Linked DNA regions of Elephas maximus indicus. The protein of the gene in region 4 interacts with the protein of the main gene of each other region in a pairwise test. Links are inferred from orthologs where the notes say so. Each region holds a gene or a part of one and is shown on either strand. Other genes may lie near its edges. The genes, in order: VIM, RAB3IP, ZSCAN1 and PPL.

Region 1 (7,820 bases), on a different chromosome or scaffold from region 4:
CTTTTTTCAGAATGACTGGTGAAAACACTTGTATATAATGAAACCATGTGAAGAATTCTTGCTGATCTTGCTCTCCTCGGTCTCCAATGTTTGCAAACCGCTACATTCTAAATCAAAGTGCACACTCTTGAAACTAAGATTTTATTTCTCCCAAGGGATTCCATGAGGATTTTATATACCTTAACTTGTAGGCAGTTATATTTGGAATACAACTTATAGCCTTATTGTCTTAAAATACTGAGACACTTGTATCACTTTCATGGAAAAGTGAATGAAGAATGGGTGACAGCAAAAAGATCCAACTTGGAAACAATTTCATTTTAGCTTGCTGTTAATCTCGAAAACAGATATAAACGATATTTTACTAACCTCTACAAAATGCTCTATGTGACACTCCACTGAAGAGAATGTGAGAAATTTTACTTATTCCCTAAAGAGGGGAACTTTTATATTAATATTACTTTATATTAACTCAGTACTCTGCAGACATTACAGGTATGGTCATAAATGCTCAATGACTACAATGAATACCACACATTGCTGTGCACTGAAATTAATTTGGCAAATGTATTTCAGTTTCAAAATATCATCCTAGGCTATTCATCTTAGAGTGCTTGTACAGCCAATTCCAGTAAGTGTTCAGGAGAATAAACTGTGCTGGGAAATCGTCTTGGTTTTAATTTTAAGCTAAAATTCCTTCCACTATAACATTGGAGAAAAAAAAAATCCTTTACTTAAAATTGTATTCATCAGCCTTAGGTTTCTTCTTTATTTTTGTGGGCAGTGCTAAAGAATATAAGAAGCCAATAACGGCCTTTCAAAATCTGATGTATGACTGTAGCTTTAAAAACTTTTCACATCACATACTTCACAAGCTGGGCCAGGTATTAGATAACGGAGATCACGATGTTAGCAAATACTTGTGTCCAATTAGAACTGCGCTTACATCATTACATATTCAATAAGAATGTAGCCTGTTGCAAAGCTTCTCTGGGAACACAAAGACTCCTATTATTTCCGTCCAAAGCCACCACATTTGCAGAATGTCTGTATCTACATTCCATAGTGAATCCCATAGAAACCATTAATAGCCTTCAGCCAAGAGGACAGATGGCTCCTTTTCACCCTTATTAGATCACAAAATAGTTGTGCATAGCGATACTTCCACCTAACTTTACCGCCACAATAGAACTGGCAAAGAAAGGAAACTTGTTGGCTTCATGCCAGTCAAACTAAGTTTCTCATCTTCCGACACCTTTTACTTTTTAAACTACAGGGCATAAATTGCGCTTTTTGTGGCCTTGTAAAAGTTGGCCAACTTTAGCAAGCCACAATCTAAATCAAACTGTAACTGTTCAAAATCACAATGTCAGTGCGTTCCCAAAAAAAAAAAAAAAAAGAAAGAAAGAAATGTCTTTATTTCCTTGAAAAAAATCTTGAAACAAAGTAAAAAGTTAAAGACTTTATTTATGTCCTAAAGAAAGGGTAAAGCCCTCAAAGGTTTTTAGCTGGAAAAGCTCCAATTTGTGGTCTTTCTACCACTAGGGGGCTGTATGCACAGACGTGAACTTCTGCACTCTTTGGACTTAAGTTCTAAGTAACTTTTAGAATCGCCAGTGGGTTGGTTGGGTGGTTCCGCTGCCGACGAAGGGGAAGGAAGTCTACAAACCTGTCTGAAAGATTGCAGGGTGCTCTCGGCTTCCTCTCTCTGCAGCATCTCCTCCTGCAACCTGAAACAGTTGCATATTAACCAAGGGGAACTGGGAAACCGCCAGGGGAGGGCGGCCGCACCCAACCACCACGTCGCTGCGCCACGAGACAACAGCCGCCTCTGCCGGCAGCCAGCGACTGCAGCCCTTGTAGAACTGCAGCCCTCGGCAAGTTTTAGCGGGACCTCGGCCGCAGCATGAAAAAGCAATCACAGTCGCCACTAGGACCTGCAAAGCAAACGCCACCACTCCCGCCCCAGAGGAGACGGCCATCCTTTGTCTCGCGTTCTCCACAGCTATCCTCTCCTCCCTCCTTCCGGCCCCATTACTGGCAGCCCGCCAGGAGGGGCCAGGAAACTTTCTTAAAAGTTTGGACGAACCACTCTCATCTTTATCAAGTGCCTTTAATTTCAAAGTGGGTTTTTTTTTTTTTTTTTAGTTTTATGAAATCCGTTGCCTGAAACGGAGCGTTCTTGGGCAATGAGTGCGTGCAAAGGGGAAATGCTAGCTGCAAGGTCTGAGTTTAGGAATCCCGTGCCGCCACCGCCCCAAGGGCGTGGCAGCCCCTCGGAGGGCGTCGTTCCCCTCCCCCTTCTTCCCGCGGCCCTGCCCGGACGTCGCCCCCCAACCCCCGTAAGTGGCCCGGGCTCCTCCTTACTTCTCCCGGAGACGCGTGATGTCCTCGGCCAGGTTGTCGCGCTCCACCTCCACGCGGGCCTTGTCGTTGGTGAGCTGATCCACCTGCCGACGCAGCTCCCGCATCTCCTCCTCGTACAGGTCTCCCAGGCGCGACTTACCCTGGCCTTTGAGCTGCTCGAGCTCGGCTAGCAGGATCTTGTTCTGCTGCTCCAGGAAACGCACCTTGTCGATGTAGTTGGCGAATCGGTCATTGAGCTCCTGCAGCTCCACCTTCTCGTTGGTACGGGTGTTCTTGAACTCAGTGTTGATGGCGTCGGCCAGCGAGAAGTCCACCGAGTCCTGCAGCAGTCGCACGCCGGGCACGCTGCTCCGCAGGCGCACAGCCGAGGAGCGCGTGGCGAACACGCCGCCCGGGGACGAGGTATAGAGGCTGCGACTGGTGCTGGGCCGCAGCGCGCTGCCCAGGCTGTAGGTGCGGGTGGACGTGGTCACGAAGCTCCGGTTGGAGCTGGGCCGGCTTGCGGTGCCGGGGCCGCCGAACATCCGGCGGTAGGAGGATGAGGACACGGACCTGGTGGACATGGCTGCGGAGGGTGGCGGTGGGCTGGGCGGCTGCAGCTGTGCGGACTGGCTCCGGGAGGAGAGGCGAGCAAGGGCGCGGTGGGTGTGCGGTGGGAGCACTCCTGCGTCTCTGGCGCGGGGACCCGGGAGCGAGAGTGGCAGAGGACGGGACCCTGCCAAGGGCGCTGTTTTTATAACCCGGCTAGGAAAGAGGGTCCCCTCCCACTGCCATCCAAGCCGCGAAGCGCGCCAGCCAATGGGGACCTGGCGAGAAGAGGGGGGAGTGGGCGGGGGTTTGGGGCGGGGGCGCCCTCAAGCCTTTCTCCTCCCGGCTCCTGGCAGCACCGGACTGGGCACGGTCCCGTTACTTGCTAAGTTTGGCTAGGACTTTGGGGGCTTTCCTCGTAATTGCCGGAGGTCTGCTCACCCCTGGGTGCCGAAAAAGGCGGGGGTCGCGCGGTGGTTGGGGAAGGCGCCCCGGGCTGGATAAGAAGGGTCCTGGGGACCACGCCAAAGGAACGTGGGAGGAGGCGCACTGGTGGGAGGGGTGCGCGGTGGGCGCTGGGACACAGGGCTGCGCAGACTGGGAGCCGGTGGGGGGAGAGACCCTCGGCTAAAGGAGCAGGAAGAGGGGGAGTAAAGGATCGAGCATATCCAGAGGCGGCGAGAAAGAAACAAAGAGCGCCTGAAATTGGAGCGTGGGGTGGGGTCGCGCGCAGCGGAGAACGCAGGACTTGGGCCTGTGGAGCCTCGCGCGCTGCCCGCTTCGAAAGGGGGGACAATTAGGACCCTCGTCTTTTTTCTTCGTCTTGTCTTGAGGGTACTGTGCAGGGACTTAACGGACTCCGTCCGGCTTCGGACGGCCGGGGCTGAGGCGGTGGCCGAGACAAGCCCAGGGAAGAGGGGCGGGGTCTGTGAGTCACTGAGGGTGACTCACTGCGCCCTGCTGGCCGGTAGAGGTTTAGGGGGCCTAGCAGTTCGAGGGAAACCGTTAGACGAGGTTGACTTAAGTCTCCGCGGGCCCCACGCTCAGTGTTTTGTTCTAAATCTTACCCCACTTAGAGCTCGGCGGTCGCTTTGATGTGTACGGTCCAGCCGTGGGGGAGCCAAGAGCACCCTTTATTTTTAAGAAGTCGCCAAATCGTGATTTTGTTCCAATGTGCGCACTTTTTAGAAGGAACTTTCCGCAGACCTTGGAGAGTCGCCAACTGCGGGTCTCCGGGCAGTTGGTGATAGCTTTACTTAAAAAGTTCCCTCCCACCCTTCACTCCAGCCTCCTCTCACTCTTCCCCCTCCCCCTATGAAACCACACCCGACTTTTAAAATGATCTGCAGGTTCTGGGTAAAAGAGGAAATTCGGCGTACATAGTTTCAGAATCAAATTGAGAGATCACTGCTTTTTTCTGCTGTAGTAGAAGTCATTAACGGTATAATCTGAGCCAATTACAGAAGTAATTAGGTGTTGCTTTAAACCCCCAATTTGATTAATGAGATCAAATGAAAGGCAGTTATGTAACTCAAATGACAGAATGTTTGAGGAAAATAGATTTATGTGTTAATTTTAGGACAGAGCTGCGCAGTGCAGAATTCTGAGGACTTGTCTGAGAAATGTCACCAATTCTTGTGGTCTGTTGTCAAGAAGAGGATTTGTGCCTTTGGTCTTGGAGTGAGAGAGATAAAGCTGTGGTCCATGACATGGAGAGATTCCATCACCTTAAGCTTTCTAGGTAAATAACTCAACTCAAGGGGCTATTGTTTCAATATTAGTGAAACACAGAATAGTTACCACCCAAAGGAGATGAAGGGAGGAAAGGGGAACCAGTCTTCTTGTGATTAAGTAGCAATTTAAAAAATCGACATTTTCTTGAGTACTTATGATACTTAGGGAGTACTGAAAAGATTAATTTCAGAACCACTGTAAAAATAGAAACACCTTGGTTATATTGCTATAGGTAGGGGAAAAAAGGAAAGTTTTCTCTCTTTGTGTGTGTGTGGGGGGAGGGGAATACTGAAGGTTACCTGGCATTTAAGAAGAACGGTTTGGAGCCAAATGAAGGGGTTTATTCTATGCTTCTTCTAGGCAATATTTTGTTTACCTCATTTCAGTTAGCTCTGGCAAATGGCAGTGCCAAAGTCCAGCCGAGGACCCTTTCCTGCACAGCACTCCTACTGTGGCTTTCTTTTATTCCCTCATTCGCTGGGAGGCTGGGGTCACTCCCAAAGAGCATTCCTGGGACTCCATGCCTGGCAGAGGAGCCTGTGCTTCACGTTCCCATCTTGCTCTCTGAGAGCCCTTTATTCAAGCCTCTGCTCAGCAAATGTCGCCATTGTGAGGTTGCCTGGAACCCTTAGGATGAGAAAAGCAATCTCTCTATGGTGGAGGGGGGAGAAAGGGTGGGCCTTACTCCTACATAAAATGCTGATCCCGGGGCAATGTGGTGGCTGGCGCTGTCAAGGGATGCTTGCTGACTGACTCACTACAGAAAATGAGGGCAAAGCTCTCGTGTGGTGTGGCAGTGTGCCCTGTCTGTGCCCACAACTCGTTCCTCAGGGCTGTGGTGACTGCCTCTGGGATGGGCCCTGGTGTTCCTGGTAATCTGAGGGGTGTCCCTTCTCCTTCCACTGCTGTCCCCATTCTGTATTCTCAGGGCTGTGCTAGGCTACTCTCTTGCCACAGCTGGTGTGCTCACTTGCCATATGTGTGTGTGTGTATGTATATTATGTGTGTGTATATACGTATGTGTATATTATTATGAGGACCAGTTGTGGTTCAGTGATTAAATACTCACCTTTCCTGTAGGAGACATGGGTTCATTTCCTGGCCAATGTAACTCATGCACGACCACCACCTACCTGCCACTGGAGGTTTTGAATGTTGCTGTGACGCTGAACAGGTTTCGGTGGTGCTTCCAGACTAAGACAGACTTGGAAAAAAAGCCTGGTGATCTACTTCTGAAAAACTCAGCCAGTGAAAACCCTGGGGATCACAATGGTCTGATCACATTGGCATGAGTCACAATGAATCGGGGGCTGACTGGACAGCAGCTAACAACAACAAATATATATTATATACATATTTTCCATCTTATTAGAAATTTTTCATCATTTGCAGATGAACTATAGAGAGGTGAAGGTTGCAAAAACTTTTTTACTCATTCATGTAGTATACGTGAAACTTTGGAAAGAATTAAATTCATTCTTAGACGAAATATACTGTGCCTAGCACAGTGCCTAAAACAATGAGTGATAGTCATCAATGAGGGAAATACATATCTGAACTAACATCCTCACGTATGGTAACTAATCCTCCTATATTCTACCTCTGTTTTTAGTTACCTTTTGGAAGTAAACAGTATGTAAGCATAGTTTTCTCAGTTTTCATATTTATTTTTTGATGGCTATGAAAACCTACCTCAGAAGTATTTTTAAAGGCTGGGCTATGAAGCTGCTTTATACATTGCATGATACAAGTTGTGTATAAATGAGGCCCCAGTGGTACACTGTGTAAGCCAGGCGTAAACATTACCCAGTCTAAGTCTAAAGTACTAACAGTGATTTGGGGATTTGCAAGCTGTGGTGATGTCAGCTGAATTGGGTGATCTGCACTGACTGACCAGCCAGCCATGCGAAGAGGAGCTTAGTGTCCTGTGGAAGCTTTAGGGAATCTGGCTCACAGGCCGCCAGGCCACGAGGACAACTTCTAGCAGGATTGTCTGATGAAATGATAGAAGCGAGACGGTGGATGAAATGACATGGTGAAAAATTTGGCAAAACCTAAAAGGCATGGTGATAAAGATAATAAGTATTATAATAAACCAAAAAACCTATTGCCACTGAGTGGATTCCAACTCATAGCGACCCTATAGGACAGAGTAGAATTGTTCCACAGGGCTTCCAAGGAATCAAACTGCTGACCTTTGGTCAGCAGCCTGAGCTCCTAACCACTACATCACCAGAGCTCCAAATAATATAATAGCTGCTTTAATTTTTGTGCCTACTGAATGACTGTCACTTTGTACATATATATTTAGTTTAATGCTCTCTCAGCATCCTGCAAGATAGATTTGGTCATCCATTTTACAGGTAAGTCTAAGACTCAGGTTAATAACTTATGGTCGTGTAATTAGTAAGGGGGCAAGAAAGGGGAGAAAGGGAACAAACATTTGAACTGAGGCCTTTCTGACTCTAAATGCCTGTATTTTCTCCTGTCCTTAATGACTAAATTTTCCTTACTCTCAACCAATTCAATTCACAAATACTAATTAGGGGGCTACTGTGTTCCAGAATGATTAATACAGATTTTTCTGGGTAAGAGAAGATTCTTAGCAGAGTTTGGCAGACACTCAGAATATAATGTTTTGTGTCATGCAGATGATGTAGCAATGATCCATAATGGTTGGATAAGAAGGGGGTTTCATTTTCACCTGAGCTCGAAATCTGGACTTTCATCTGTGACTTAAACATTTTCACCTAGATTCCTTTCTACCTGTTCAGAAGTATTAGATCCAAAATTTAACTGAGCTCATCTCACACCCTAAAACCCACCAACCAGAGCAGCTTCCCCTCCCAACTTCCCTATCTATTAAGGGCAACTCAGCAAACCACCAAGATTAGAAACTTTCATCATCTTGCCACTTCCTTATACTATATTGGTCAGATCCAAAGAGTATCATGATATGATACATGTCCCATTGCTTCCTGTATCCACTGTTATGCTGCTGTCACTCACATCCAAGCCATTCCATATTTCATCCCTGCAGTAATGCAATTGGCTCCCCCTCCTCCAGGGTATCACTTCCCTCACCAGTGTGTATCTCTCAGAGCTGGCTCCCCTCCCCTTTTTTTTTGAAAATGGCTTTCTCAAGATGCCCTAATGAACCAAAGTGCATCACTCAGTCCATCACTAGAATG
Region 2 (7,404 bases), on a different chromosome or scaffold from region 4:
TAAGTTTGCTACTTAATTAGTCATGTGACCTTGGGCAAGATACTTAACCTCTCAGTGTCTCGATTTTCTCAGCTGAAAATGGAGACAAAGTATTACCTATCTCCTCATTCATAGTGAGAATAAATGAGTTATTATAACGTAAACTAGGCCAGGACCCAGCACTAGATAAGTATTACTCAACAGTGGTAAAAAAAGAAAAAGGAATCCATTGCCTTCTAGTCAATTGCAACTCATAGCAACCCTATAGGACAGAGTAGAACTGCCCCATAGAGTTTCCAAGGAGCACCTGGTGGATATGAACTGCCGACCTTTTGGTTAGCAGCTGCAGCACTTAACCACTACCCCACCAGACTTTCTTCGATACTGGTAGTGGCAGTGATATCACCATCATCAGAAAACTAGGGTATTTTTTAACCAGAAATACAGGTGATAAACACCTTTCATCTATGTGCCTTTTTATACTTACAAAGCTCTTTTACAGAAAGTGTAAACCAGGATGGAAGGAGCAAGAGTGTTGAGTTCCATTTTGGGCAGTCACATCCAAGTTTTAATCCCTGCATTGCCATTCACCACCAAGAACTAAGTAACCATACCCAAAAAAACCAAACCCACTGCCATCGAGTCAATTACAACTCACAGCAATGAGTAGCACTGCCCCACAGAGTTACCAAGGAGTGCCTGGTGGATTAACACTGCTGACCTTTTGGTTAGCAGCCATTAACACTTAATGACTACACCACCAGGGTAACCACAGGCAAGTTATTTCACCTTCCTGAGCCTTAGTTTCCTCATTTGTAAAATGCATTACCACCACCTATATTCCAAGAACGCTGTGAAGACTAAAGGAGTTTAGGTACTTAAAGCAGGAAGCACAGCACCTGGCACACAGTCAAGCTAACATCTGTTCCTCCTTTCTCCCTCCCACCCACCTCCCACATGGAGTGTCTCATTTAATCCTCATCGCATGCACCATTATGAAATTCATATTAGGTTGAACCATATGAAAAATAGTTGAATAACAGCAATGTCGCACAGTGTGACCTAATATTCCCATTTACTAAAAGAGAAATAAGTTCAGAGATGTGCGATGACTTATTCAAGATCATATGTATAGCAAGTGATGGAGCTAAAACTTATAGACAGATTTAATAATTTTTCATTTGGCTGGCTCAATAATTTGTTCAGTGAATCTAACTCAGAAGGGAAAAAAACATACATTAACTACTATAATACATGTAAAACTACTGTAACTTACAATTTTTGGTTCTGCCATATTAAAAAATGAGGGGGTAAAATAGATTTCTAAGAACCTTTCTAATTCAAAAATTATTTGTAGAGTATGTTGGGAATTGAAGGTTTAGGGAAAATTTGAGAAAGAGAATGTTTTAGGAAAAGAAGTATTTGCATAACTACACTAATTCAAAAAGTACAACTGGATCTAATTAAAACACAAAGCAGCTCAACATCAAATATCCATCCTGGTGAAAGTTTAGAGCTATTCAATACCACCGATGAGTTCTTTGCCAAACATACAAGGAAGTGTTTTAATCAATGTACCCACTTTGTCTCACAAAGGTACACACTACCATATAACATTACTGTAATGGAAAAAGAAAAAATTAAAAAGGCTTTTCTTCTAACAGTAAGAAATACACTATTATAGTAAAACTGGATAATCACTAAGTTTTTTCTATAAATTCCACAAGGGCTTCAGAGTTAGATCACATAAACCATTATATTGAGAATACAGTATTTGTCCAAATATTAAAAAAAAAATATTAAAAGCCCTATCAAAATGCGCAATACTAGAAAATATACAAACGTTTCCGGAACACAGCCCCATAAAACTGGTGGAATATTTGACAGTACCAAGTATTGACTACGATTGGTCTCCAAATCGATTCTGCCTCTTTTCTCCTTGATTTGTCATTCACCATTTAAAAAACAAAACCAAAACTGCTGAACAACAAAATGAGGATAATAAACAGAAACTGGGTCTTTCAACAGATTTACAGTAGAACAGTTTGTTTTAATCCTCTTATCGGCCTCTCCTCCAATAGTCATCACTCCATGGCAAAAGATTACATGGCTCTGTACCAACACTGAGAAGGAGTTGGGGGGTAACGGAAGAGCGTGGAACAGGTAGAGTCGGTGGCTGCTACATTTTCACGGAACTAAATCGTCTGCCTCTCAGGAATCAGTTAACTCAGCGCTTTTAACTTTGAAGATCTTACCCTTTAGCCATGAGTTTTCGTTGTCTTTTTTTTGGGAGGGGGTTGGTTGGTTGGTTTTTAATATCATAAAAACGGGCAACTTTTCACGTGCTGCAGACTGCACCTAGCATCACTCTTGCAGCCCACTGAGCTCGGTCTTCCGCGGGCGGTCGGGGCAAACTGTCAACGCTGGAAGGACGGCGTAACTACGTCTGTGCAGCTCCTCTCAACTACCCGAAACAAAAGTCGGGCTGAACTGAGCTGCCTCCAGAGGCGCGACTCCCGGCGCTCGCTCCTTCCGACCAGGCTTCACAGAAGCCTCTCGCAGTGACCTCTCCGCCCCGGCATCGTGCCTCGCTCGTCACCTACTAAGACTCGGGAATGAAAGAGCCCGGGTCCACAGCTCCCGCGTCATTCCGCAGCAGCTCCCGCACGGAATCCCGGGCTGTGATGTGCTCCGACTTGTTCGAAAACTCTCTTCACACCCCCCCACCCCCGCCCATCCCGGTGACCCTGCGTCCACAGCTCCCGGCCGCACTTGTGCGCCGACAGGTAACCAGGCTGCGGGCTCACCGCCTCGGGCGCCGGAACCGCGCAGTTAATAAGTAACCCGCCCGAGCCCGGGGGACGCAAGCGGCGGCTGCGAGGCGCTGGGGGCGGGCCGACGCCGCTCGACGCCCACCAGCGGCCCCAGGGGACGCCCAGCTCCCCACCGCCGCTGGGGTTTCGGACCCAGCTGCCAAGGACGGGGGGCGCGCCGGGCGGCCGGCTGGGCAGCCGGGACCCTGCGCCGCGCCCTCCGCCGCGCCGGCCCCTGCACCTGCCGCCCCTCGCGGGAGGCGCGCGCGGGCGCTGAGGGGGGCGGTGCTCCGACGCCCGCGCCCCAGGCCTCTCCCTCCCGCGACCGCACTCACCTGACGAACCCACGGTGGCCGCTGCCCGCGCTCAGGGACGCTCGCAGAGCCGCAGAGAGCGCACTCCGAGGGAGCAAAAGGCGGAGGAGGACAGCGCACCGAGCCCGCTACTCTCCGCCGCGGCGGGGACGGCGCTGGGAGTCGGCGCGAGAATGCGAGACTGCGCCTGCGCCAGGAGCGAAGCCGGGAGCGGCTTGTCCCCGCGGAGGGAAGGCGGGGCTGGGGGCGGGGTGGGACAGGGCGGGGCGGGCGTGGGGCCGGGGGACCGACGCGCTTCCGCGCCCCCTGGCGCCAGGCGGGGCTTGTCGCAGGTGCAGCCTGTGCCCAGGTGCCTCCGCAGGCGGTTTCTTTGGGAACCGACGCGAATCGGCGCGAAGCAGTGTATCCTACGGCCAGAAAAGTGGCCTCGTGTTAACTTCGGAGGCGTTGGAGTCGACAGGAGTCGGAAAAGGAACCTTAGCTGTGAGTTGAAGACTGCTAGAACCAACCCGAGCCGAGTGGCGCCCATATATCCTTACAGTTTGTGTGGAGGAGGGGGAGGAGGGTTCTCTGATAGAACCCAGATCCCATCATTCCAGCAACTGCTGAAGCATTCGAGAATGTCGTTTCTGTTGTACCTCCCTTCTCTCATCTTTTATGTCACCTGTTTTATCAAACTTCCACACACTTCAGGTCCTCCAGGTAGCAAAAGTGAAAAGACAGAACCTGGCTCCCAAAACAATCAATCACTACATACGTCTCCGTGTTCAGTAAAACAGATACGTGCAATTTACATGATACACTTATTGAACAGGACTATCTTTCTATATATTGGTCACATCTCTTAGAGGCAGCAAAGAAAAGTAGACTGCGTGTATGGCTATTGGAATAAGAATTCCTGGGTTTGAATTCACCGCCTACAAGCTGCATGACCTTGGGCAAGCTAATTTCTATGAGCCCCAATATTGTCATCCTAAAAATAGGGATAAGAATACCTACCTCACTGGGCCGTTGTTAAAATAAATGATTTAAAGCTTAGTACATAACTCATAAGGAGCCCTGGTGGCGCAGTGGTTAAGCACTTGGCTGCTAACCAAAAAGTGGGAATGGTGGTGCTCCTGGGCAGAAAGATGTGGCAGTCTGCTTCCATCAAGATTGCAGCCTTGGAAACCCTTTGGGGCAGTTCTGCTCTGTTCTACAGGGTCTCTGTGAGTGGGAATCTACTCCACGGCAGTGGGTTAGACTATGAGCTTTAAGAGAACAGGCACAAGGCCTTACACGTAGTAGGATGGCTCAATAAATGAGGTATGACTGAATGATGTACATTTAGGGTACACTTTATGGAGGACAGGCCCTGTGATGTGTTTTACATAGGACCTAGATATCCTGAGTCTACAAGAAATTTTAATAACTACATGCCTGTATCCTGTGTTGGTTCCTTTGCAAATCCCCTACCATACACGTGGCTGTTTGGAATGTACTTGGGGGTGTGTCCTCTCACTTACTTGTTATTGTAGTTTGAGAGTGGGAAGAGCAATATGAGTACTTCCTGTAATAACACTTCATTATCCCTGGAGTACAGAGACCAAGAGACATTACAGAATGTAAGGCACTCAGAAGCTCAGCTTTCCCAATGTATAAAGTGTTGTGTAAACATTCTAAGTTAGACTGCCTACCCATATATTAAAGGGACAGCCACTACACACGCTTTGAAAACAAAGTGATAGATTTTGTAGTTGACTATCTTTCCCTTTCATTAAAAAATAAATTATACAATATTAAATACAGCACATAAAATAATATTTTTTAATTATAATATTTTCCCATCTGTACCTGAGGCCAGAAAACATGATATGAATGCAAAGATTTAGAACTTTAAAATTGAACAAATCTTTCTTACCCTTAGTTATAACTTTTTATTGCTTTTGCCTCTGTTTTGTTTTCAAAGTTAAGAAAGTGTATATTTGCATGGTACTTACCAGTTTCAAACTGACTTCACATTAACTACTTCATAGATCCCTTACAAAAAAACAATTTCATGTAGGTGGACAGAATTATTCTTCATGTTTACAGATGGGAACTTAGACCTCCAGAATTAAGGCTTTAGTTTTCAAAATGCTGGGTAATACTTTATAAACAAATGAACTTAAAATCTCTTTAAAAATCAGATTGAACTGCTGTGTCCAGCGGTGTGGCAGACTAGACACTCTGATTCTCCCACCAAAAGCAACTCATGTATAAGGAAACATTTTGAGAATTGGCTTCAGAGCCAGTTTTTCACACACACACACACACACATACACACACACACTTACACAAATTGCCATCCATTTAAACAAATATTTATTTATTGCTTCTCTAAGACAGACATATAAATAATCTGTAGTAAGAGGAAGGAGGAGGAGAGATGAGAAACAATACAACTTCCTGGTTTCCCTACAGTGTTTCAGTCCCAGGTTCTGGCCTATTCCTGAGGTTTAATTACATCCCTGCCTATGATTTTGTGCATCCTCATATCCTTAAATAATTCCCTCTTTTTGCTTAAAATATCTTTTGATGAATTCCTGTTACTGCCTGCTAGAAAATTACCCTAAACAGTACATTTTCATGGAAGAGTTGGCATCTGTAGCAGTTAGGATATATGACCAAAATCTCAAAATAACAGTCATTAAGCATCTAAAGATTGGCAGTTTGAACTCACTAGCGGCTTCACAGGAGAAAGATGTGGCAATCTGCATCTGTAAAGATTATGGCCTTGGAAACCCTGTGGGGTAGTTCTCCTCTATCCTCCAGGGTCACTATGAGTTGGAACCAACAGCAATGGGTTTGGTTTTGGTAAACTAAATGAAGTTTATTCCTCTCATATACGTGTAGGCAATGCAGGATTGGTTTGGTGACAGTATGATCAGCAAGGACATAGGCTGCTACCGTGTGCTTCACCATCCTGAACATGAGCTTCTGTGTTATGGCCCATGATGGCTGCTTATGTTCCAACCATCACATTCTTAATCCATCCCCCTAAAGAAGGCAGAAAGGGACATACTTCTCTATTTAAGGACACTTGCAAAAGTTTTACACATCACTACACTTACTCCCTATTGGTCAGAACTTAGCCGCAAGGAATGTTGAATCATGTAGTTTCTGTTGGGTGACCATGTTTCCAGCCAAAAATCAATGGTTCTAATTCTAAAGAAGAAGGAGGAAACAGATATTGGAAACAACTAACAACCTCTGGTTCAACATCTGAGATCAGGCTTTGGATGAGAGATAAATGGTAATGAATAGAACATACAAATAGAACAAAGACATTGTCAGAAAAACACGTAGTGGTTCAGTGAGTCTGGAAATATAATCTTCAGGTGGACAGCCCTTTTCCCAGGAAGAATATGTCTTGTTTTCATGCACTTACGGATTATTCACAAAAACTGATGATGCATGAAAACGTGCTTCAGACAGGTCTGGGGCATATCATAGGCATATCACAGGCAGGAGGCATGCTCCTTCATTCTCAGTTCTCTTTCACCACAGCTGGCTTTTATTTTCTTTACATATTGATTAGGGTTGAAAACCATTGTGAGATACATGCACTTACTAAACAATATTAAAAAAAAAAAAAATTTTTAATTTAAGATGTACAGCCCATGTGCCAAATGTATGCAGTGGAAGTACTGCTGTAAGTAGCAGTGTCCAGTAGGTGATCTAACTGACCCTAATTAGCCAGAACACTGTTATTGACTGAATTTTGTCCCCCAAATGTATGTGTTGTAAATCCTAACCTATATAAAAAAAAAGAAAAGAAAACCTATATATATGTAGGAGCCCTGGTGTTACAATAGTTAAAAGAGTTTGGCTGCTAACCAAAAAGTCGGCAGTTCAAATCCACCAGCTGCTCTTTGGAAACCCTATGGGGCATTCTTCTCTGGGTCTCTCTGAGTTGGACTTGACGGCAGTAGGTTTGGTTTTTTTTGTTTTGTTTTGTTTAATTTTTATTGTGCTTTAAGTGAAAGTTTACAAGTCAAGTCAATGTCTCACACAAAAACTTACATACACCTTGTAAAAAAAAAAAAAAAAACACCTTGTTACATACTCCCAATTGCTCTCCCCCTAATGAGACAGCCTGCTCCCTCCCTCCACTCTCTCTTTTCCTGTCCATTTTGCCAGCTTCTAACCCCGTCCCATCTCCCCTCCAGGGAGGTTTGGTTTTTTTATATCTGTGGTTATTATCTCATTTGGGAATGCATTTTCTTTGTTATGTTAATGAGACAGGATTAGTGTAGGGTATGTCTTAAAGCAGTCTC
Region 3 (8,066 bases), on a different chromosome or scaffold from region 4:
CGAGAGAGAAATAAAGCAGTTTCAGCAAAACAATAACGAATGTTGGATCAAGATGGGGAGTACAAGATAGTCATTGACTGTTTTTATGTATTGTTGAAGCTTTTCACAATTAAAAAATTTGAAAAATGCTTATTTATTAGGCTATAATTAAATAAATAAATTAAACCTTGATAATAACAGGTTTTTGTGAAAATGTGTAAAATTTGGAACCCCAATCCATGGAGAGTAGAAATATAAAATAGTGCAGCCACTTTGGAAAACATTCTGGCAATCCCTCACAAATTAAACATAGAATTACCATAAAAAAAACCCGTCGCAGTCGAATTGATTCCAACTCCATCATGACCCTGTTTGACAGAGTAGAACTGCTCCATAGGGTTTCCAAGGGTATAACCTTTACAGAAGCAGAGTGCCACATCTCTCTCCTATAGAGTGGTTGATGGGTTCCAACTGGTGACCTTACATTTAGCACCTAAGCTCTTAAGCACTGTATCACCAGGCTCCAGAATTACCATAAAACCAAAAACCAAACCTGTTGCTGTCGAGTCGATTCCAACTCATAGCAGAGACAAGAGTAGAACAAGACAGAGTAGAACTGCCCCATATGGTTTCCAAGGAGCGCCAGGTGGATTTGAACTGTTGACCTTTTGGTAGCAGCTGTAGCTCTTAACTGCTAAGCCACCAGGGTTTCCAGAATTACCATATGGTCCATAAATTCCACTTTTAGGTATACACTGGAGAGAAATTCAAACCTATGGGCTCAAACATAACAGTGATTGAAAGGATGGTGCAGAGCCAGGCAGCGTTTCATTCTGTTGTACACAGGGTCACTATGAATCTGAACCCACTCCACCGCACCTACCAACAGCAACATGTCCCAAATATGCTGTTGGAACATTCTTATACTAAAATATACTATTAGTACTTAACTTAGTATTCAGTATAACCAAAGAAGTAAAGCAGAGGGAGCTAAAGCTGTCATTGGGACTGTGCAGCACAGGAAGTCCCATCCTCCACCCAATTCTTGCTGCGCTCCCAGAAAAGCGTGGACAGTTGCCATGGTGACCAAATCCCAATTCCAGGGTAATGCTAAGAAATCTCTGGAGCGAGACGACCTAATTCAGGCAGCTTTTATTGGTTGGGGCAGCTGTGTTTGTCATGATCCCACCCCCACTAGGGTATCCCGGGGCTCCTGGGTGGGGCGGTGGGCCAGCGCTCCCCAACAGGCCGAAGGCAACAGCCCATGGAGCGCGGGGTTCCGGGAGTCGCAGTCCATCAGGCAGCTACCGGGTGATTGCACATGCCAAGGTGGCGCCGTGACTGAGGGCCCAAGCAGACCCTGCGTGCGCTTTAGTCTGTCCGCAGTCAGTACTTCTGGCAGTCAGTGCGCCTGTTGGCCTGGCAGTCCCAGGGAGGAACCCAGGGGCGGATGACGGGCGTCACGTCGGCAAGGGCGGTCTGGGGCTCACGGTAGAGAACGCGTGTGGAGATGAATAAGGCCCTGGGCCGTGGTCGCTGCCCGAGGCTGGCGGCGCCCGGGTCGGCATCCCGAGGTCCTTCGCGGGACCCTGAGGGGAGAGAGGAGTTCCTGACATGGGACCCTGACGGATGCGGGGAGTCTTAAAGTACAGGGAGTGCTGAGGTCGATGTTGGGAGTGGGCCGAGGGCCATTTGGCAACCCCCCACCGGCTTGAGGTAGAAAGCCCCCGCTGGTCTGTCCGTTCAGATCCCTCTCCAACCGGCCCCAGCAGCCCTTCTCCCACCCGCTCTGCAGCCCCTGGGCCCACTCGCCCATCTCCCACCTCCCCAACTCATTTATCTGTCGCTTCCTTAGTGAGCAAACCCTGCTCAATCCTTTTCTCCCACAAACCTCCACTCCCCCGTTCTTCCCCCACACTCATTTATTTATTCAACGACTATCTCTTGATCATCTATTAGGTGGTTTGGCTGTCAGTTACCAAGCCCTCACGGGTCCCCCTTTCCTTCATAGAACTTGAGGTCTCTGCCACAGACCCTAGTGCCTACTCCAGGTAGACCAGCCCTTCCACCTAGCTTTGAGCCCTTTACATGACATTCAACCAAAAAACCAAACCAAACTAATTACTGTTGAGTCGATTCTGACTTATAACAACCCTATAGGACAAAGTAGAGCTACCCCATAAAGTTTCCAAGGAATGCCTGGTGGATTCCAACGGCTGACCATTTGGTTAGCAGCCATAGCACTTAACCACTACCCACCAAGGTTCCAAACCCAGGTACCCCCCAAAGTGGATCTCCTGTATCCCTGGACCACCGCAACAAATACTACGTGTGCCCCAGAACCTATTCTATATAGACCTCAGACCCACTCCACATCGGTCCAGGACCAAACACATTGGCCTGGGACCCCCACATCAACCTAGGATTCCCCACATCAGCCCAGCACCACTTATATCAGCCTAGGACCCCTCACATTGGCCCAGAACCTCCACATGGGCCCAGAACTCCCCGTATCAGCCTAGGAAAAAAAGAAAAAAAACACTGTAATGGAGTCGATTCCAACTCATAGTGACCCTATGAACAGAGTAGAACTCTTCCATAAGGTTTCTAAAGCTGTAAATCTTTACAGTTGGAGTGGCTGGTGAGTTTGTACTGCCAACCTTTTGGTTAGCAGCCAAGCACTTTAGCCACTGCACCATCAAACCAAAACCAAACCTGTTTCATGGAGTCGATTCTGACTCATAGTGACCCTATAGGACAGAGTAGAACTGCTATATCAGCCCAGGACCTCCCAAAAGGACTTCAGCTACCACATGGACCCTAGGAGCTGTCCCAGGCCTCCCAAAGAAGTGCTGAGGGGCTACAGCTCCAGAGAACATTTCCCTGAGCACCAGACAGGGAATGTAAGCTCTGGGACCCCAGAGCAGAGGGGACTGCTCCAACCTATGAAACTACAAAACATGCTTTTTTTTCTTTTTCCAAAAATACATATAAATGAAAGTGTAAAGCACAAGAGAGTATTTTTGCTTGTAATCCCCAATGTGCAGGTGGGGGAAAGCAGACTCACAGGCTACAGAACACACCCCCCTCATGAGTCGGCCTTTCTGCCTGAAACAACTCTCCTTTCTTTCGGATTATAAAACCCATACCTGGTAACTGTAGAAAACATGAGCCAAAGCATCAGGAAGGAAAACTCACGTGGAATCCTCCACTCTTCACCTGTTATAAGCATTTTCCCATATTGTTAAAAGTCCTTCCTAAAAATTTTCTGGTTTTTTTTTTTTTTTTCTGTTGATAAAGGTTACACGGGGTCATTATACAATTTGGGGGAGATTGACAGAAGTATGAAGAGCACCAGGCACTTGGCTTGCAACCCTGGGGCTTCTTTTCTGGCACCCCTTTGCAGAACTCTCATATATTGTCCCGCACCCTGCTTCCTCCCCTGCACCTCACCACTGCCTTGAGTGTGTTAATGGGATTAACACTATTTTGAACAGTTGGATAATACTCCATGACATAATAGGAAGTAATTGACCCCACCAGGTTTGACTGTTAGGTACTTTCGTAGTAAATTAGGACCTTTCATAGTAAATTTTGGTGCCTAAATCTTTGTCTGCATTTTGGCTAAATTTCTCAGCGTCCAGAAGGTTTTTTGTATACAAGCTGCTCCAGTGCTTCTAAGGAGCCCTAGTGGTGCAACGGTTAAGCACTCAGCTACAAACCAAAAGGCTGGCGGTTTGAACCCATACATTGGCTCTGCAGGAAAAACCCTACAGGGCAGTTCTGCTCTGTCACATGGGGTCACTATGAGTCAACAACCAGCTCGACGGCACCTAACAATACCCAGTGCTTCTGTGCCAGCTTATATTCTCACCAGTGAATGACCCCACCCTGTCAGCACAGGATATAAGCATGTAGTAAAATCCCTGCTCATTTTATGTTTATAACTTGTCGTATTTCGTTCGGTTGTGATATATTCACCATAGGAAGCTTGGAAAATATACAAAAGGTTATTTTTCCTTGCCCTTCTAGCTTTCCCTCTGCTTTTAAAGTCTCTTTCCTCCAGCCCCTCCTTGCCCTCCTTGCTGCTCCCATCATCAGCCCCAACTTGGCACATGAGGCAAGGAAGACAGCAGCAATAATACCCCAGGGGCAGGGGGCAGGAGGCCTCTATTGCATTGCCCCTTACATGGCACGAGTGGCTATTTTCAAATTAAGTAAAATTGAAAATCCAGCTCCTCATTCAAGTGCTCGGATGGGGCAGTGCAGATGGAGCACATTGTTACCTATACAGAAAGTTCCATGGGTAAGCGTTGCTACTCCACATGTCACGGCATAGCCCTTGGGTAATATCAGGTTAAAAACCACAATCGCAATTCTTTGAGAACAATGTCCATATTGTCCCCCCTTTAAAAAAGCCAAACTCGTTGCTGTCGAGTCAATTCCAACTCATAGCAACCCTACAGGACGGAGTAGAACTTCTCCCTAGGGTTTCCAAGGAGCAGCTGGTGGATTCAAACTGCCATCCTTTTGCTTAGCCAACAAACATTTCACTGCTGTGCCACCAGGGCTCCATATTGTCCCCAGCTCCTCATAAATGTTTGTTCAATGATGAACTGAGGAGGAGGAGATACTAAACGAGTAATGAAATAAAATGTGTTCAGAAGAGATGGGCGCACTATGAGGGTGGAGGGACAAGGATGACAATCAAGCGGCCACGTAGAGGAAGCTCTTCCTGCAGTGGTGACATCTGAGCTGGAATGAAAAGCAAGTGCAAAGGCCATGCGGTGGCCACTGGCTTGTCCATGGCCAGGTTAGATGGGAGTGATGCGGACAGGGCCTGGCTCAGTCCCTGGGGGCCTTGGCGGGGGGGGCAAAAACGTAGGGTACTGAGAGGTTCTAGAGCAAGGTTACCCACCTTGTGATGTGGTCTCTCTGCACTGGCACCTCTCTGCAGGCTCCTGACTGCTGCCTGTGCTTGTTCAGAGCCATCGAGGCCACATGCCCTGTGGTCAGAGAGATGCTTCCACTGGCGAGAGGCTTTGCCTCTTGCAGGAGCACCCAGACCCCAGCACCAAGTGAGAAGGATGGGGCAGTGCGGCCTGCCAGCCCCGGGGATGCAGAAGCCTGGCGCTTATGCTTCCGGCAGTTCAAGTATTGCACGGTGACTGGGCTGCAGCAGGCACTGAGGCAGCTCTGGACACTCTGCCACCTGTGGCTGTGGCCCGATACTTGCTCCAAGGAGCAGATCCTGGAACTGCTGGTGCTGGAGCAGTTCCTGAGCTCGCTGACCTGCAAGATGAGGTCCTGGGTGCAGTCACAGGGCCCCCAAACCTGCAGGGAGGCCACCAGCCTGGTGGAAGACCTCATGCAGATGTTCCAGCAGGAATGTAAGAAGCCACAGGCTCGGTGGTCCCCAGGGACTGGCTGACCCCCAAAGGCAAGTGGCTCCAGGAGGAAGTAGGAGCTGGGGTTTGGGTTCATACCAGATGAGAGCCCCGCGTCTTTCCTGCAGGTGGCCCTTGGGTAGTATTGCCATCTGTCTTAGTTCTCTAGTGCTGCTATAACAGAAATACCAAAAGTGGGTGGCTTTAACAAACAGAAATTTGTTTTCTTACAGTTTAGGAGGCTAGAAGTCTGAATTCAGGATGCCGGCTCTAGGGGAAGGTTTTTTCTCTCTGTCGGCTCAGAGGGAAGTTCCTTGTCTCTTCTCAGTATCTGTAGGCCCAGCGTTCCTCAGCTCCTTCGTAATCTTCATGTGGCATGGCATCTATCTTCCCCCATCTCTCCTTGCTTGGTTGAGCTTAATCTACTCTTTTTATATCTCAAAAGAGATTGACTTAAAACGTACCCTACACTAGTACCGTCTCATTAACATAACAAAGAAAACCCATTCCCAAATGGGATTATAACCATAAGTATAGGGGTTAGGGTATATAACACATTTTGGGGGGACACAATTCAATCCTAACCACCATATTAACAATATTAAGTTAGGCCAAATGGGGGTCCCTGGTAGTTCATCTGCGTGGTAACATCAATACTTCATTCTTTTTTATGGCTATAATAATAATATAATAATATAGCATAACATATTATGTTAATTATAATCATAATCAACTATTAGCTGAAAGGTTGGCAGCTCGAACCCACTCAGAGGTGCCTCAGAAAGGTCACAGCCTTGAAGACCCTGTGGAGCACCATTCTACTCTGCACCCAAGGGGTGGCTGTGAGTCAGAATCAACTTGACAGCGATGAGTTTGGTTTGGTTTAGTTGTTTGGTTCAAAGTGGACTTCCAAGAAAAGTTTTGGTTTGAGGTTTAAAGTTTAAATATTATTTCAGGGCAATATTTTAAGGGTTCATGCAGCCTCAATGGCTCCAGAAATTCTGGATTCCATTGAGAATTCACCAAAATTTAGTAGCTTCTTTATTCATTAAACACTTCTCTGACTGTGTAAGTTTTTCATTAGAAGAAGTTACTTCTGACCATTTTGTCATTGCTTTAGTAGAGGCATCGGAACGTTGGAGTTCCCTATTGTGCTATTTTTGGTGACATCACTACATCAGATTATTTCTGTTTGCTTTTTTTTTTTTAATAATAGTCTTATTGAAATATAATTCACATGCTATAAAATTCAAGTCAGTAGTTTTTAGTATATCCACAGTTATGCAACCATAACCACACCACAGCCTAATTCCAGAACATTTTCACCATCCCCAAAAGAAACCCCAACTTCATACCCATTAGCAGACACTCCCCATTCCTCCCTTCGCCCAGCCCCTGACAACCACTAATCTACTGTCTGTCTCTACGGATTTACCAAACCTGGGCATTTCACGTCAATGGAATCCACGAAATGTGGCATGCATGAGTAGAACTGCTGCTTAGGGTTTTCAAAACTATGACCTTTCAGAAGCGGATTGCCAGGCCTGTCTTCTGAGGTGCCTCTGGCTGTGTCAAAACCACCATACTTTAGGCTAGTAGTTGAGTGCTTAACTGCTTACACCACCCAAGGATTCCTTTGAAAACATTATGTTCAATGAAAGAAGCCAGACTCAAAAGGCCACATTTTGTGAGTTGGAATAGACTCGATGGCAACTAACAACAGCAGCAACGTTTTCAAGGTTCATCTATGTAGCAGCATGCATCAATACTTCATTCATCTTATGGCTATAATAATAATATAACATATTAATATATTATGTTAATTATGTACAAAAATGGCATAACAGGGGCATCACCTGACCTCCTCCATTTTTACAAGGGGGACGGAGAATCAAGATCAACAGCCCAAGGCTGATTCCTACTCTGTAGAGGTCAGACATGCTTCCTCTCCCCATCGTCTTTCCCAATTCTGACACTCAGCATCCCTCCCAGGGCATTGTCTATTTCTCTGCTGAGTTCGATAATTTGTTGCAGTGGCCACACAGATCTCAGACCATACTCACATTTACGGGGCTTATTAGGGAAGGAACAGGTAACAGTTCAGGTTCAGGAATGCTCAGGATACAGATCTTCCATCAGGACAACCTCTTCTCACCTGTGCTTGCAAGCACGCCTCTCTGTGGCCCCTCGGCCTCTGCCCTGCACAGGCAAGTGTTAAAAAGCACTTTTAGCTCTGCTGATAAATACTCCAAGACACCCCACTCTGCCAGTCAGCCTTGGCAAGAAGCAGTGGCAGAGAAACAACAGCAGCAGAACCAGGAGACTGGCAGGAGATGGTGTGGTGGGCTTCCCAGCTGACTGAGTGAGAAAGATGAGTGCCTTCAGGCTCCGGAGGCTTGCTGGAGGAGTAGGGTGCCTCTGGGCACTTGGTGGAGGCTAACTTCCTCCTCCCAATCATTTTACCAGTCCAAAACAGTCACTAACAATTAGCCCTTCAATAGGACAAAGAGCCCTCAGGGTGAGGTTACTTAGTACCAGTCATTCCGGCCTGCTGCACATGTCCACCTGATTTAGTCAGGTTCGCCAAAAGTCATCTCGGCTTCATTCTTCCTGGTATCCGATAAAATTTAACTGAGAGATTATTCCCTTGGTCTGAGCCTCCTAAGGTATCAGGATAGCAAAGCCTTTAAGGGATTTTAA
Region 4 (7,158 bases):
AGGACAGTGGTCAGTTCCTATGTGCTAGAGGCATTCTCTCCATCATTACATGGGCTTCTCCCTGCAACCCTGTGCAAGAGACACCTATTATCACCAGCCCCACTTTGCAGGTGGGGAAACTGGGGTTCAGAGAGATCCCATGACTTCTCCACAAGCAGATGTAGCAAAGCTGGGGTCAGAGGCATTCTGCTCCCAGGGCTGGAGCTCCTACATACCATGCCCTGCCGAATCTCGGCAGCAGCCCCACCCTCACCCAGACCAGGGAGGAGACCCCTAGAAAAGTCAGGGTGAAAGAATAACCTGGAGACTCAGACACTTGTATGCCAGTGTTCATAGCAGCACTATTCTCTATAGCCAAAAGGTGGAAACAACCCAAATGTCCATCAAATACTAAGTGGATGAACAAAACGTGGTCTATCTATACAATGGAATATTCTTCGGCCATAAAAAACAATGGGGTTCTGATACATTGGCAACATGGGAGAGCATGGGAAACATTACGCTAAGTCAAATGAGCCAGACGCAAAACGACAAATATTATATGACTATACTAATATACTTATATGAAATGTCCAGGACAGGCAAATTTATACTCAGAAAACAGATTAGTGGTTGCCATGGGCTGGGGGGCGCAGGAAGTGGGGAGTTATTTTTAAATGGGTACCAAGTTTCTGTACAATTTAAAAATGGTTTAAAATGGTAAATTTTAGTTTATGTATATTTTACCACACTACAAACATTTTTTAAGATAATTTAAAAAATAAACCTTGGGGGTCAGCTCACCCTAACCAGGGACCACATCTTAGAGCTACAAGCCCCTCATGTGGCACTTGGCACTTGGAACCAAGTATGTACCGATTAAGAGATTCTTGTTGGGAGAGGGGGACAAAGTGTTGTCCCACCCTACAATCTGGTCCGAGTACTCGACTCCCACCAAGAAGAAGGAGCAGAGGGATGCCCAGGGCTGGCGAGACCATACAGGGAAGGACCAAGAACCTACTCAGGGCTAGGACCGCTCTCATTCTCAGTGCTGGGACAGGGGTAACAGAGAACCCAGCGGAGCCCATGGGAAGGGTCTCACCCTAGCCTGGGCAGAGTCATCAGGGCAGGCTTCCTGGAGAAAAAAACCTAAGCTGAGATCTGGGGACCAACCAACGGATGTCAGCCAAGGCAAGAGGCGGCTTCCTCCAGCCAGGAGTAAAGGAGGGGAGGGACAAGGGCAGGACCCCATGTCCCTGCAGCTGTAAAGGACAGGACGCCCTCCTTTCTACCCTTTCCCGGGAAAGCCAGAGCCCCTCCCAGCTTCTCTGGGTTCATTATAACTTTTTGTTGTGTCCAAGTTCAGGCATCCAAACTCAGGCCTCGGGGGACGAATGGAGAGCTGGGAGGTGGGAGGCAGAGGGTAGGCCCTGCCTGATACAGCTCCCCACATGTGCATGAGTGTGGGTGTGTGCATGTGTGAAGGACTGGAGGAGCCTGAGTCTTGTGGTGGCGGGGGGTGGGGGGGGACAGAACAGCCATTCGTGGCTGGCACAGCGTATCTGATTGTGCAATGCCCATCAACAGCACGGGGACTGGACCAGACCCCAGGCCCAGTTTGAGTGCCAGCTGGACCTGGCCACAGAGGAACAGTGGGAAGGACCCCACCCAGTCTCTGGGGTTGTGAAAGATCATATGAGGGGTGGCTCTGAAGGGGAACATCGAAGGGGTGGGGAAGAACTGCCTCTGAACTTGAAACAGCCCAAACAGACTGGGTGGTGGGAAGGCCAGGGCAGTGGGGTTTGTGAAAGGGCTGGAAATCTAGGGAATCAAAGTGCCCAGGCCCACCTGCACCTGTCAGACAGGTCCTCGGGGCTGAACCACAGGGGCAGGTGCCAGCCCAGGGCCCAGAGCCCTCTTGTGGCCTTCACATGGGGGTTGGGGAGGGGTTGAGGGACTGCTCAGGGGTGCAGTAGGGGCCACACAGTGAGGGTACTTTGCAGTGGTATTCCCAGTCAGGTGGGCTGTGCCCTTGAATCTCCCACCTACCTTCCCCCTAGTTTAGAGAAGCTGGGAAAGTGTTTCCTCACAGCCAGGAGCCCCCAGCCCATTTTCCCTGGGCGAAGGGGAGAAAGGCAGGGCCAGAGTCGCACCCCCTCCCTCAATCTCAGCATCTCCAGGAGGCTCCCCCAAACCGGTTATTAAGTGAATATATTAACGCTTGTCAAAACAGATGTGGGCCGCCGACTCAACGCAAACACATCAAGACCTGTTATTCCCTTCCCATGCTGCCTGGGAACCCGCGGCTCAGAGACGCTGCAAGTTTCAGGGTTGGCTCGAGGGACGGAAAGAAGGACACACCCTCTGAGAAAGAGTGAGGCGAGGAGGACTCCGGCGCCCCCCTGCAGCAGCGCAGACCCCCGACCCCCGGGAGGCTGGAGGGTGTCCCTCAGCCTGTGCCTCCCACCCGACCCACACCCACCCGGTTCCTCTGGGCGCGGCTCTGAGTGCAGAGTGGCAGGTGCGGGAAAGTGCTGCGGCAGGTGGCTCCCCCACTGCGCCGCCCCCGCCTAGCCTCCCCGACGCTAGGAGCACCTGTGCGCTCTCCAAGAAGCGCTGGGCGCGCCCCCCACGCCCCTGCTCAATCTCCCTGTCCCTGTGCGTCCCCTACACGGTGCTTCCGGCGCCCCGGCCTTGGTGTAGCGTCATCGGACCCCCACCCGTATCCCGGCGGTGCTTCAGGGCCCAGGGAGACGCCGGGCGCAAGGGCGACGCCGGGCTCAAGGGCGACCCCAGGACCCGGGTGTTCCTGTGCCCAGCTCAGTTCCCCGCCCTCTAGGCCCCAAGATCGTGCTCCGAGGATTCTAGAACTCCCTAGGGCCACCTATCGGGCCCCCTCGGCGCCCCAGCCCACCCCCATCCCCACCACAGCTCCAGGACGCTCCCGGGCCCGTGTTCCCTGGTGTCTCACCCTGCAGGCCTCCGGGGCGTGCTCCCCACGCCCCAGATGCCCCCAGGGCGCCGCCGTTGCCCCGCGCCCGGGCGGGGCTTGCGGCCCAGAGCGCCCTCACTTCGCGCCGCGGCTGGAGGGCTCCGAGGGCCCCGGGGCGCAGCGAGCGCCTCCTCACCTCCTGGTGTGCACGGTGGGGCTGTATTTGCCTTTGTTTCTCTTCCTGAAGAGCGAGTTCATCGTGGCAGGCAGTGGAGGCGGGAAGGCTGGGAGGGCTGGCGGCCCGGCACGCACCGACACTGCGGGCGCAGGTGAGGGCGCTGCGGACCGAACGAACGAACGAACGAACGAACGAACGAGCGAGCGAGCGAGCGCGCGGCGGCGCCAGCTCTACTCGGAGGGGGCGGGGCGCCCGCCGGCCACTCGCGCTCCGGCCGCTCCCCGCGAAGGTGGTGCTTACCTTCCCCGAGGAGAAGCCGCGGTGGGCGGGGCTTCCCCGCGAGGCAGGCGCCCAGCCTCCATCCAGGCCCAGCGAGTGGGGCTGGGGCCTGCGGAGAGGGGCGCTGGGTCTTGGCCAGACCCCCACCCGAGTCCGGGGCTCCAGAGGGTGGTACAGACCGGCTTCCCCGAGCACCCACAGGCCTGGCGCGCGCCCCGGCTGAGAGCCCTCGCCTGGCTTGTTCCTCCCCCCTCCCGCCCCCGCGCTTGACTTGGACACTCAGGGGGCTCCCCAGCCCTTATAACTAGAGAACTACACTCTAATGGGCGCAGTGGAGGGAGAGGCTACTGAAAACGAGCGGCTCTGAGGTTTGCCGCCACATCAAATCCTGCCGCCACAACTGGCCACCGCTTCGCCGGTATCTTCCCTCGGCTGCCTCAGTTTCCTTATTTGGCAAACAGTGGTAACAGACGGCCCCTTCCCAAAGTGTTGTGAGGGGATTCCTGCAGATAATCCCAGACACGGTGCCTGGCCCGAAGCCAAGTGCAGGGAGCTTTGCTTTGCTTCTCATCATGCCATCTAGGGCAGACAAAAAGTCCTTTGAAACTTTAATAACTCTAGGTCCTGGCATGACAGAAGTACTTCATGCCTGGTCTTAAAAGCTGCTTGATTCTGGTTCAGAATGGGCATATTGCACAATTCTGCCATTGTGTGTCCAGGCTGGACCTAACCAGTGTGTGCCTGGGTGAGGCCATGCACCAGTGTGTGCCTAGGCTAGACCACGCCAGCGTGTGCCCAGGTTAGACTGTAGGTCAGTGAAGAAGGCTGCAGTTGGGCAGACAGTAAACCGAGCCTGGCAGGGAGCCCGAGTGGGGCCCTAACAGCTGGGAGGATTCCGCACCATTCTGGAGGACACTGGGAGGTTCAAGCACACAGTCTCCAGGGGGATACTCCAGAAGTCTGCAGGATAAATTATGGCCAAAGTGCTGTGCTGTTGGTCAGATGGGGAGTATGGAGGCCCACTGGGGCCTGGGGGAGGGGGTGGGCCTCAGCCCAGGACTAGTGTGAGTCCTCAGTCCCTCCCCTCATGTATTTATTTGTAAATTAAGGATGTCGATGGGGAATTTGACTTCCAAGGTTCCTCCCTGCCCCAGACTGCAGAGCATCTAAAGACACTGGATGCTCTTCAGTCCCTCTATTGCCCCTGCCACTGAAGGGACATCGGTGGGTGGACTTGAGGGGGTCTGCATTTCCCCTAAAGTTGCTTGCATAATGTGCATGTCCGTCCATGTGTGCTTTTTTCTGGGGAAGGGTCTATCACTTCACTGGATTCATACATTGGCTTCTTAAGGGATAGTTGTGAATGCCCTCCCACCCTCTGTGCATGGCTCTGCTACATGAGAAAAGAAAACCACAAAACAGAAAAAGGGGTCTTTCTCTCAAGGGGCTTTCAGTCTTGGGGGGACTCATGATAAAAAAAAAAAACACTCAAATAGTTAATATACTTTTCAGAAACATGGGAACCGAACAAGGAGAAAGGACCCCAACTAGGCAGCGGTTCTGAGCTGTTGTGCATCAGAATCCCCAGGGAATATGCAAAATGCAGATTCCAGGGTCCTGGCTCCTTTGGGTGCTGATAGAGGCAGTCTGGGGAGGGGCCCAGGAATCTGAACTTTTTGTTTTTTTGCATGTACTATTCAGTGACATCAATTACTTTCATAATATTGTGCTATCTTTCCAAATTTTCCCATCACCTTTTACAGAAACTCAGTGCCACCCAGGGAATCTGAACTTTTCATGGGTTTCTTTGGTAGTCTGCAGCCTCGCTCTGAGAAACTGGGAGTGAGGGTCTCTGTTTGCAGCCCACTTGCCACTCAGGCAGGGACCTTGATGCGAGCTTCCCACCAAACCTCTCTCTAGTCACTCCCTTCTGAACTTGGCTTTGCCTGGCTCCCTTCTAAGCTGGAAGTTTGTTAGGGCAGGTAAAGTCTTGAGCAATTCCTTCCGCTTGAAGTAACTTCCCTTCCTGAGGTGGAGGTTCAGACAAGGGCTGGAGGGCACCTAGGGGATGCTCCCTTTAGCCAACTGACATTGGGAGCAGGTATTTCCAAACATGGGTGGAGGGGGTGGTCAGCCCACCGGGACCCGCAGAAGTCAAACTCATCACAGAGCTTGTTCACCCACATGGACCCCTTCTCCTGCACCCCAGATGGGCCACAGGGACGGGCTCAGAGGGAATCTTGCTGGTCCCCTTGCATTTGCCCATGCTGTCACGCTGCCTGGAAACCGTTTTCTTACTTCTCCCTGGGAGTAACTTCCCTACAGATGGGTTCCCACTGGGTGCTAAATTCACAAAGGTACTAAGTGTACCTTCAGGGATGTTCGCTGTCACATTATAGCTAAGGAGGAAGCCCTGGAAACAATCTGATAGTGTAGAGAGGAGGTTGATTACATAATCCAGGATGCTTCCACACTGGGAGGACCCTGCAGCTGAAGAAGAATGATAGCCTAATGTGGAACGCTCACCAGACACGTATATATATAGTCGAGTGCAAGAACAAAGTGCCAAAGAGTGCATAAGGGGCTCCCATTTGTGTTAGAGAGAGAGAGAGAAAGGAGTATATGTGTGTGTGCCTTATTCTTGTACACGCATAGAAAAAACTTCTGGAAAGGATCCACAAGAAACTGTTAGCTGCGATTCCCCTCAGAAGGGATAAGAGAGAAATGTGAATTTTCACTGTGTACTCTTTTATGGTGTTTGCATTTTATTTATAATCATGTATATGATTTTTTTAATGAATTGCTTTTTTCACTTTTTATTGAAGTAAATATGTATGTAACAAAACGTTTGCCATTTCAACATTCTTTACATGTACAACTCAGTGACATTACTTGTGTTCATCATGTTGTACAACCATCATCATTATCTGTTTCCGAATTTTTCCGTAACTCTTACCAGAAACCCAGTGTCGCCTGAGTCAAGTTACTGATAGTCCAGGGGCAGAGGCAAAGATACAACTATAAAGCCGACCAGCATAAGAGTCAGGGAAGAAGGGAACCTCATCAGGGTTCAAATGCTTGGGTAGAAAAACCCAGTGCTGGTCAGCTGTGTGAAGGTAAGCAAGGCATTTTGCCTCTTCTACCCTCAGTTTTCCCCGTCTGTGGAATGGGTGCAATTGTAGCCTTGACCTCATAGGATACCATCCTGTGTGTTAAGCACTCAGCATGGCCCCTGGCAGTTAGCTAGGGCTCAGACCAATGGGAGGGAGTTAGATCTGTAGCTGAAGACTACAAGCTTGTGGGACTGAAGGGTACAAGCAGTTTGCTGGAGCTCCAAACAGTGTCCAAACCCTAGACTTGTTGAAACTTCCAAACCTCCTTTCCCCATACCTCCTAGGAAGGTGAAGGTCAGTTTTGGGGAGGGATCCAGACCACAGATCTCCAGGTTAGTGGGCCCGTAGTTCAGCTGCTGAATAACAGGAACGACACTGATAATAGTCACGTCGTTTATGGAGGGCTGACTCTGGCCAGGCGACATGGCCTGTGCCAACCTGCCCAGGGGTACAGATTTTCCGCAGTGCCCCACATGGGGTGAAACAGACCAGCTGCCCGCCTGGGAGGTGGTCAGTCTCTTGTGTTCTTTCCCAGAGAAGGGAACCAAGGCTCTGTGGAGTGCAGTGGCAAGCTGGGCTAGCCCCCGTGTCAGCCTGCTGCAGCATCCCAGGTCTTGGACCCCCGCGTGCCTCCACCCTCCACCTCACAGGCTTCGGGCAGCTGAGAGATGGGGAGA

The links.
Region 1: the proteins of PPL (region 4) and VIM interact in binary tests that used the Homo sapiens proteins (3 or more experiments, as listed by UniProt). The link is inferred for Elephas maximus indicus from reciprocal best matches to the Homo sapiens genes PPL and VIM.
Region 2: the proteins of PPL (region 4) and RAB3IP interact in binary tests that used the Homo sapiens proteins (3 or more experiments, as listed by UniProt). The two-hybrid records come from large-scale screens. The link is inferred for Elephas maximus indicus from reciprocal best matches to the Homo sapiens genes PPL and RAB3IP.
Region 3: the proteins of PPL (region 4) and ZSCAN1 interact in binary tests that used the Homo sapiens proteins (3 or more experiments, as listed by UniProt). The two-hybrid records come from large-scale screens. The link is inferred for Elephas maximus indicus from reciprocal best matches to the Homo sapiens genes PPL and ZSCAN1.

Annotation. Positions count from the first base shown.
Region 1 is NC_064822.1:39,613,255-39,621,074, forward strand, and holds the start of VIM (vimentin), read right to left. Parts: upstream 3,087-7,820; 5' UTR 2,931-3,086; coding exon 2,368-2,930; intron 1,731-2,367; coding exon 1,670-1,730; intron 1-1,669. UniProt on the Homo sapiens protein: Vimentins are class-III intermediate filaments found in various non-epithelial cells, especially mesenchymal cells. Vimentin is attached to the nucleus, endoplasmic reticulum, and mitochondria, either laterally or terminally.
Region 2 is NC_064822.1:130,924,347-130,931,750, reverse strand, and holds the start of RAB3IP (rab-3A-interacting protein), read right to left. Parts: upstream 3,222-7,404; 5' UTR 3,128-3,221; intron 1-3,127. UniProt on the Homo sapiens protein: Guanine nucleotide exchange factor (GEF) which may activate RAB8A and RAB8B. Promotes the exchange of GDP to GTP, converting inactive GDP-bound Rab proteins into their active GTP-bound form.
Region 3 is NC_064829.1:87,803,451-87,811,516, reverse strand, and holds the start of ZSCAN1 (zinc finger and SCAN domain-containing protein 1), read left to right. Parts: upstream 1-4,999; coding exon 5,000-5,405; intron 5,406-8,066. UniProt on the Homo sapiens protein: May be involved in transcriptional regulation.
Region 4 is NC_064830.1:63,028,512-63,035,669, forward strand, and holds the start of PPL (periplakin), read right to left. Parts: upstream 3,318-7,158; 5' UTR 3,170-3,317; coding exon 3,108-3,169; intron 1-3,107. UniProt on the Homo sapiens protein: Component of the cornified envelope of keratinocytes. May link the cornified envelope to desmosomes and intermediate filaments. May act as a localization signal in PKB/AKT-mediated signaling.